2 linked regions of the Xenopus tropicalis genome follow. Each later gene encodes a partner of the first gene's protein in a complex. Links are inferred from orthologs where the notes say so. Each region holds a gene or a part of one and is shown on either strand. Other genes may lie near its edges. The genes, in order: f7 and f3.

The links.
Region 2: the proteins of f7 (region 1) and f3 are in contact, whole or in part, in a crystal structure (PDB 6R2W), measured with the Homo sapiens proteins. The link is inferred for Xenopus tropicalis from reciprocal best matches to the Homo sapiens genes F7 and F3. Residues at the interface, in NP_000122.1 of Homo sapiens: Leu73, Lys78, Phe91, Arg96, Leu99, Phe100, Ser103, Ser120, Lys122, Gln124, Leu125, Ile129, Cys130, Phe131, Cys132, Leu133, Pro134, Phe136, Glu137, Gly138, Arg139, Lys145, Gln148, Ile150, Val152, Asn153, Glu154; in NP_001984.1 of Homo sapiens: Thr49, Asn50, Lys52, Ile54, Glu56, Trp77, Lys78, Ser79, Lys80, Phe82, Tyr83, Glu88, Asp90, Asp93, Gly141, Gln142, Thr144, Glu162, Arg163, Thr164, Leu165, Arg167, Phe172, Tyr188, Trp190, Lys191, Ser192, Ser194, Ser195, Gly196.

The regions. Positions count from the first base shown.
Region 1 is NC_030678.2:116,095,590-116,099,519, reverse strand, and holds the start of f7 (coagulation factor VII precursor), read left to right. Parts: upstream 1-1,745; 5' UTR 1,746-1,816; coding exon 1,817-1,889; intron 1,890-3,411; coding exon 3,412-3,471; intron 3,472-3,930. UniProt on the Homo sapiens protein: Initiates the extrinsic pathway of blood coagulation. Serine protease that circulates in the blood in a zymogen form. Factor VII is converted to factor VIIa by factor Xa, factor XIIa, factor IXa, or thrombin by minor proteolysis.
Region 2 is NC_030680.2:103,458,629-103,462,458, reverse strand, and holds the end of f3 (tissue factor), read right to left. Parts: intron 2,938-3,830; coding exon 2,787-2,937; intron 2,358-2,786; coding exon of another isoform or gene 2,314-2,357; intron 1,364-2,313; coding exon 1,230-1,363; 3' UTR 148-1,229; downstream 1-147. UniProt on the Homo sapiens protein: Initiates blood coagulation by forming a complex with circulating factor VII or VIIa. The [TF:VIIa] complex activates factors IX or X by specific limited proteolysis.

The sequences.
Region 1 (3,930 bases):
GGATTACCCAATGGTACATACTGCTAAAAAAGGGCATTATTATCAAAATGTTTTATTTAGATGAAGCAGGGTTTTATATATAAGCTGCTTTATGCAATATACTTTTATAGAGAACTACGTTGTTCAGGGTATTGTTCTCCTTTAAGTATTTTAGGATAAGTATGTACGAGTTTGCACACTATTCAGTATTAATTTTTGCCCATTCTTCCAGGCAGATTTGCTCCCATTATTTAGATAAGTTGGGTGACGCGTATGCACCTCAATTTTGAAATAGTACCATAGATTCTCAACTGGATTAAAGGAGAAGGAAAGGCTAAGTCACTTGGGGGTGCCAAAATGTTAGGCACCCCAAGTGACTTCAGTCACTTACCTCGTATCCCGGGCTAGTGCCCCTGTTAGGAGAAAACAGCACCAGCCCGGGGTACCTGGAGCGATGCGCTTCCTCCTTCCGGCTTCGTTTTGGAAGGACTTATGACAGGCGCATGCACAGTAGAGTGAAAAGCCGACTTCTCTGTTAAAGTTCAGTTTTTCACTCTACTGCGCATGCGCATGCGCACGGAACCAGAAAGGAGGAAGCGATTGCTGCAGGTACCCCGGGCTGGTGCTGTTCTCTCCCAACAGGGGCACCAGCCCAGGGTAAAAGGTAATTGATTTAAGTCACTTGGGGGTGCCTAACATTTTGGCACCCCCAAGTAACTTTGCCTTTCCTTCTGCTTTAAGGGCTTTGACTGAGCCATTGCAGTGAATTTGCCTTTTAATTCTTGAACTGCTTGTGTTTGGGAATAATGTCCTTCTGAAACGCAACTTTCAGCCAAGCTGTGAAATAGCAGAGTGAAATAGGTTTGTTACAGTGTCTACCTTTATTTTGCCATGCACTCTACTGCCCTGGGAGTGTGGCACAAAAGAAGACATTACTAAAAACAAGCCATGTAAAAGTACATGTGGAGTCTGCCAGAAAGCCTGAGAGTGACCCAATGTTTTGTGTTCAGATGAGACCAAGATAGAGCTTATGGACTTCAGAACGATGTATGTGACACAAATCTAACACTGCCCCCCACACCATACATATACTATAGGGAACTTACATAGTACTGACATAGTACATACAGTACATATACTAAAGGGAACTTACATAGTACTGACATAGTACATACAGTACATATACTATAGGGAACTTACATAGTACTGACATAGTACATACAGTACATATACTAAAGGGAACTTACATAGTACTGACATAGTACATACAGTACATATACTATAGGAAACTTACATAGTACATACATATACTATAGGAAACTTGTTAATGTTAATATTCGTTTCTCCAACAAATAGATATTTCAACAAGAGTACTATTTTATATGTGAAAGATATATATAAAGCCATGAATTCCTCTAATTCCTTTGCATTCTAAAGAACCCTACTGGAGCATGAATAGTACCACCCATGGCTTGCTTCTTTATGTAAACTCTGGCAGATCCTGTGAAGTGAAAATACAGTTCACACCAATGCTCACCAGTGCATAATATTTAAATACATATGCCTTTAAAGATTTTGGATGGTAGGAAGTAGATGAAATCAGGAAGGAAGTGAAGGTAGGTGAGAACTTGTTATGGTGGAAACATTGTGTGAATCAATAAATGTAGATCTATGACTAAACATTCCCAGCAATTCCAATGTTGTTCAGATCTTCCCAGTACAGAGCACTGTCAGGGTCATCCAGTCACCTCCCCCCAGTCCTGGATGTTCAAACAAAGAACTTTGGACACACTATTCTCCCTTGGCGGATTTATAACAGAAAGAGATTTCCTGCAACATGGATCCAGGGCACAAAAAAGCTTTCTGCTTCTGTTTTCTTATGGTCCTTTCATACATTCCAACCTTTGCAGGTATGTATAAAAACCAATAATAATAATAACAGGACTGGCTAAAGATCAGCTCGACACCAAGTGGCACTAATAGGCACAAAAATGTATCATTTTTGCATTATAGACTGCCCTTGGCTTAATTACAAAAATATTTCTTAAAATGTTTCTTTTCTTATTTTCAGTCTGATAATAAATGAGTATATATATATATATATATATATATATTTGACTGACAGTAAGGCAGCTAGCTTTCAGTTAAATACCTGGAAAGTTGTGCCCCTCTAGGTATAAGGCAGCATGTATGCAGGGGTTAGTTGTCTTGAAACAGAAGTGCATGCTAAAGGGAATTGTTGGCCCTTGCGTGGATTTCAAATATTACATTTAACTGCATTTTATTTTCTGCCTTTCTATGATTCCTGATTACTGTCAGGAAAGGGCAGTAGGGACCTAGAACTGACCCTTCCATTAGTTGAAGTTTATGTGTCATTGTGAAGTACTATAGTTCTAATAATGAGCAGAGATTAATTTTTGTCAGACTCTGTCCACTTATTGATGCCTTTACTGTTGTATATTAAGTTGCTGCTGTTAGTCACTGATGCACTAGGCCCTGTCAGTGCCCAGGCCTCTTTTAGTCATTCTTTTTCTTTATACAATATAAGTTTTAATACCTTTTTCTTTATGAATTATCCATAATTTTTGCCTTAGTTTGTGATCTTTCCCTAGGCTGCCTTGTACATGACCCCAACTGCAAATGTTCCTTATTGGCATGAAGAAAGTCAGTACAGTATTCCCTACACTTATCTCCCCTTTTGCTAAGGCATTAAGCATGAATAAGGATTAATCTATAAGGATTAATTATATCTTAGTTGGGATCAAGTAAAGGTACTGTTTTATATTTTTTTAAAAAAAAAATGTATACAAGTATGGGATCCGTTATCCGGAAACCTGTTATCCAGAAAGTTCCGAATTATGGAAATACTGTGTCCCATAGACTCATTATAAACAAATAATTCTTATTTTCAAAAATGATTTCCTTTTTCTCTGTAATTATAAACCAGTACAGGTATCGGACCCCTTATCCGGAAACCCGTTAACCAGAAAGCTCCGAATTACGGAAAGCCCGTCTCCCATAGACTCCATTTTAATCAAATAATTCAGAATTTTAAAACTGATTTCCTTTTTCTCTGTAATAATAAAACAGTACCTTGTACTTGATCCCAACTAAGATATAAATAATCCTTATTGGATGCAAAACAATCCTATTGGGGTTAATTACTGTTTTATTGATTTTTTAGCAGACTTAAGGTATGGAGATCCAAATTACGGAAAGACCCCTTATCCGGAATACCCTTGGTCCCGAGCATTCTGGATAACGGGTCCAATACCTGTACCTTGTACTTGATCCCAACTAAGATATAATTAATCCTTATTGGAAGCAAAACAATCCTACTGGGTTTATTCCATATTTAAATGATTTTTTAGCAGGCTTAAGGTATGAAGATATTTGAGTAATGTCAAGTTCCTCTTTCATATCAAATTGCAGAAGATGCCAGTCTGGCTCAGTTGCAGGATGCTGCTGGTGGATATAGAGAGTCTGCAGATGGTGAGTCGAGATTTTTTTTTTTTTTTTTGAATAAACATATTTTGAGAACCATAATTTCTGCCAAAAACAGTTGCACAGTGTCAGTAGAGCTCATTAAGGTCATTGGGGTCATTTATTAAGAGGGTGTAGATGCAAAACTTTTGCATCAAATTAATAAACCTTCTCTTCATGTCTGTAAATGTAGTATCTAGCATGCTAGTCCAAGGCCTTATGCAATATGTGCAAGTGGTTGGGGTCTATACTGCCATGCTAAATGGATGCCTCCAAGCTCTCCTCTGGTTCTCCCCCATGGGGTAGTCTCTGCAGGAAAGGAAAGCCCTGGAGATATAAGCACAGGGGCTGCATGACAAGGGATCCGAATAACCAGCAGCCAGATTACACTGGTTTATGTTTAGAGATTGGCAGAACCAGGTGCAACTGTGATTAGGTGAGAAGGAAAGAGTTAAGGCAGGAGAAGGC
Region 2 (3,830 bases), on another chromosome or scaffold:
ACCCATTCCCACTAAATTAGCAATACAGTTAATTAGCAGAACACTGGGGATGGAAACATTTTTTGCTATTGGAATTAACCAGGACAGAACAGAATGTCACCAAAGTATAGGTGTAGTTTACTTATTATAATAATGATGATACAAATATTCAGTACTTTTTCCCCATTCACCTTTATTTAAAGACCTTCACATTAAAATAAGTTACTCCAAAATATACAAATACACAATCAATATTAATAATAACCCATAAAACCAACCATATAAAATCACATACATAAATAATTCCCTTGATTCGTAGTCTAAAAAACTCTATCCCAAAACAACATATATATATATGCAAAATACTATAAAGTTATAAAAATAGACTATTCATTTTATAAGTGCTTTGATAAAACTATGTAATAGTTCCATGGAAAGGAATGTTGTCATGTTTTAAGGAGCAGCACTGAGTGTTCATGATACTATAAAGAGACCACCTGCATCTACAATATAATGCATGGCATATCTGCCCATATACAGTCATTCTGAAGGACATGGGGCAAAGCCACAAAATAAAAGTGATGCACAAATCACATAAATCAAGCTCCATCACGTTGGTGTACCAGTAACACAGGATATGCCTATGGCATGGGATATTATACTATGACATTATATTATGAAAATGTACACTTTTGATTTGGTCCCCACAAAAGTGGCCAGACTTGTGTTCATCCAGCTGTTGGCAGCCAATGTCACATGGAAACTGGGGACCTCTTAGTAGCCATAAATAAGATTCTGAACCCTAACATTGTCTAATGAACAAGCATAAGATAACAGCATTACAATTTATATAAGTGCAAAAATTGATATTTTTCTCCAAGAGAAATCCTCCTTTTTACCTGAGACTCAGTATCCAGCTACTGTTTAAACAAGTACCTATTTTCTGTACCTTATTAGTTAGTGACCTCTGGCTATGCCAGTTTCTTTAGCACAGAATTTAAGCCCAACCTGAGCCATACTAAAATAGTGTTGAAATTCAAAATGTAGCGTTTCCCATACATACACAATTCCATACAATAGTTTGCAAAATTACATTCTAAACTAGTCAGAATCTGACTGTAACAGTTATAAAGGTTTTCCAGAACCAGTGTGTTTCACAGAAACAGGAGAGTAATTCACTGCCAGGAGCAGCAAGCAGTGTGCTGGGCAGCTGCAGGGTTCTAGTAGTGTAGACAGGCTGGGAATGCTGCTTATAAGACGTCGTTGGACTCTTTTCCCTGCTTTGCCCTTTTACGTTTGCACAGCATAACAGACAGAGCGATAACAATCACAATGATCAGTACCACTGATATAATCACAGCAACCAATACAGTAATATCCAACTCTGAAAAACACAAAAAAGAAAAAGCTTAGACACAGTCAAAACATCCAAGTTCACCGGCATGCTGAAACCAACATAAAGAAGTATATGCATTTTATGAATGCATATAATAACGCAAGGCTTCTCCCTGTTAGTGTAAGCAATGTCTCCTCTAGCTGTTACATACTGTCACATGGCCTAATATTTGGTAATTGATGCCACTGAGCATTACATTTGCAAGATTCTTTAAAAGTTCCTTTTATTAATTATGGGTGTTAGAGTGCCGAAGGTTGTATAAAGATAAGTGATCATAGGTCAGAGAACTCCAAACATTATTGCTAGCAGCTCACAGGGTGTCCAGGACAGGTGGGCAGTGGAGTTTTGATCACCACCATTTTCAGCTGTCAAATTGCCCTTTGTGCTAATTATTTTGCCCTGCACTCACATATGTATAATATTTCTGCTACTGTAAATAAGACAAAACATTAGGTATTGGAGTCTGTATAAAGTTGGATTAGTATAAAGGTAACTAGCCTACAGCCTCCTACCTTTATATGGTCACGATTCTTATACTACAGCTTGCATTATTGCCTTTACGTATTATGTCATATGTGATCTCGTTATTATTACAAAAGGATTGTATTTGAGCCTATAAAGCTTTTTTTTTTAACTGTAATAAATCCAACCACCTTTGCAAACAACAGGGCAACAAATCTATACAGAATGCAGCTGGTTTGTTAATAAAGATGGAAAACACCATTTAAAAGAAGAAAGTGGCAACCCATCACTTTGCAATGTGTTGCTATTCCAGCAAACCCAGACAGGAGGAAAGCATTTACAGCAATAGGTTAGATGTGGTATTGCTGTTGTCTTATCGACCCATAGGAGCTGCTTGCAAAGAATGAATAAAAGCCTAATACGCAGCAGGTCCCTTCTCCCATATGTGCACTGCAGTCATGCCAGAGTCAACTTACACATAGGAATATAAATTCACTTGGGGAACCAATAGTACTGGCTGCTGAAAGGCAAAGGCATATTCAAATAGACAGATATTCAGATCTCCGAGATGCAAACTGATACCATCAATACATCAGACTGTCTGTTTGCGAGTGTGTAAAATAAAGCATACAGTATATATACATTAGTGTTTCTCAAATTGTAAGTGCACCAGAAGTCTACAGAACAATAGTGTCTACAGACAATGTTTACCCTTACTGCAGTTTCCATAGTACACAGGTGAGTAATGGAGGGGTACTAAGAAAGAATTGGTGCACATCTTCTCAACTTCACCTTTTGTATATAGTTACATAGTTAACTATATGGCTTTATATGTGTACATACACATAAAGCCGAATTATCTATACACTGGCAAATCTATCCTTCTAATAACAGTGCACACTGCTTACATTGTAGGGAGAGATGCATGGATTAGTGATTAGACACCTACCGTTCTCACTGGCAGTAGTGCACTTCTCGTCAGATACTTGACTGACGCGGTTCTGACTGCGAGATGGTATAGTTGCTTGTACATAAAAGCAATAGCTCTCACCCCGATCCACTTTAATGACAATCTCATTGCTATTACTTGTCTCCTGTTTCTGCAAAAGGAATAATATTTATTTAATAATTATTTTTTGCAGATCAAATAATCCATCTCCTAAAAATGTAGCTATGCAAAGATAAATACTACCTATGTGTGTTAGACCTTAAATGTTTGCTCAGCCTCAGACTACAATTAAGCTCAGTTTAGTGTTTTTACCCTATTTACTTCCTGTAATTTATATAGCGTTGGCATATTTCCACAGTGCTTTACAGACATATATACATCATTCATATCAGTCCCTGCTCCAGAGGAACTTACAATCTTTGACGCCTATCACATTCAACATTGAAAACATCCAATTGCTTGACATGGGTCACAGCCCAGTGTTTATATATAAACCCCACAGTGGCATAACTTATATAATATAGCTACCCCGTCATATATATGACTTTATTAATTATTAGTTTAATCTCTTCATTCATTTCCAATACATGCGTGACATTCTGACTGCTTTGAAAAGTGATGATAATCACTTATCACTAAATCCCCAAATAAACTGCTTTTTCTTATAATATTAATGTTGGATGATTTTAGAAGATAAAGCCATGTAGCATTTGCGTACCCAGAATTAAGCTTCACTGGCCTAAAATGCCCATTATTCCATGTCAGAAAAAATGCTCATTTAGAAATCCCTAAACCTATAAGAAAACAATGAGCAGACATTATATTTAAAAAAGCAACAGAGCTAAAATATAGCTTTACGGTGGAATTGGGCCTAATATAATATTCACATATACATGAGTAAGTGACAACTCATATACTTAAATAATCATAACGAAATACCTAAGTATCTTTCTTTCTATTACAGATCTGGAGCTTAGCTTAGTGTACCTATATTAAGGGTTAAAATCACTGAGGTACAAAACCTGATAGAGGCAACTAATGTTT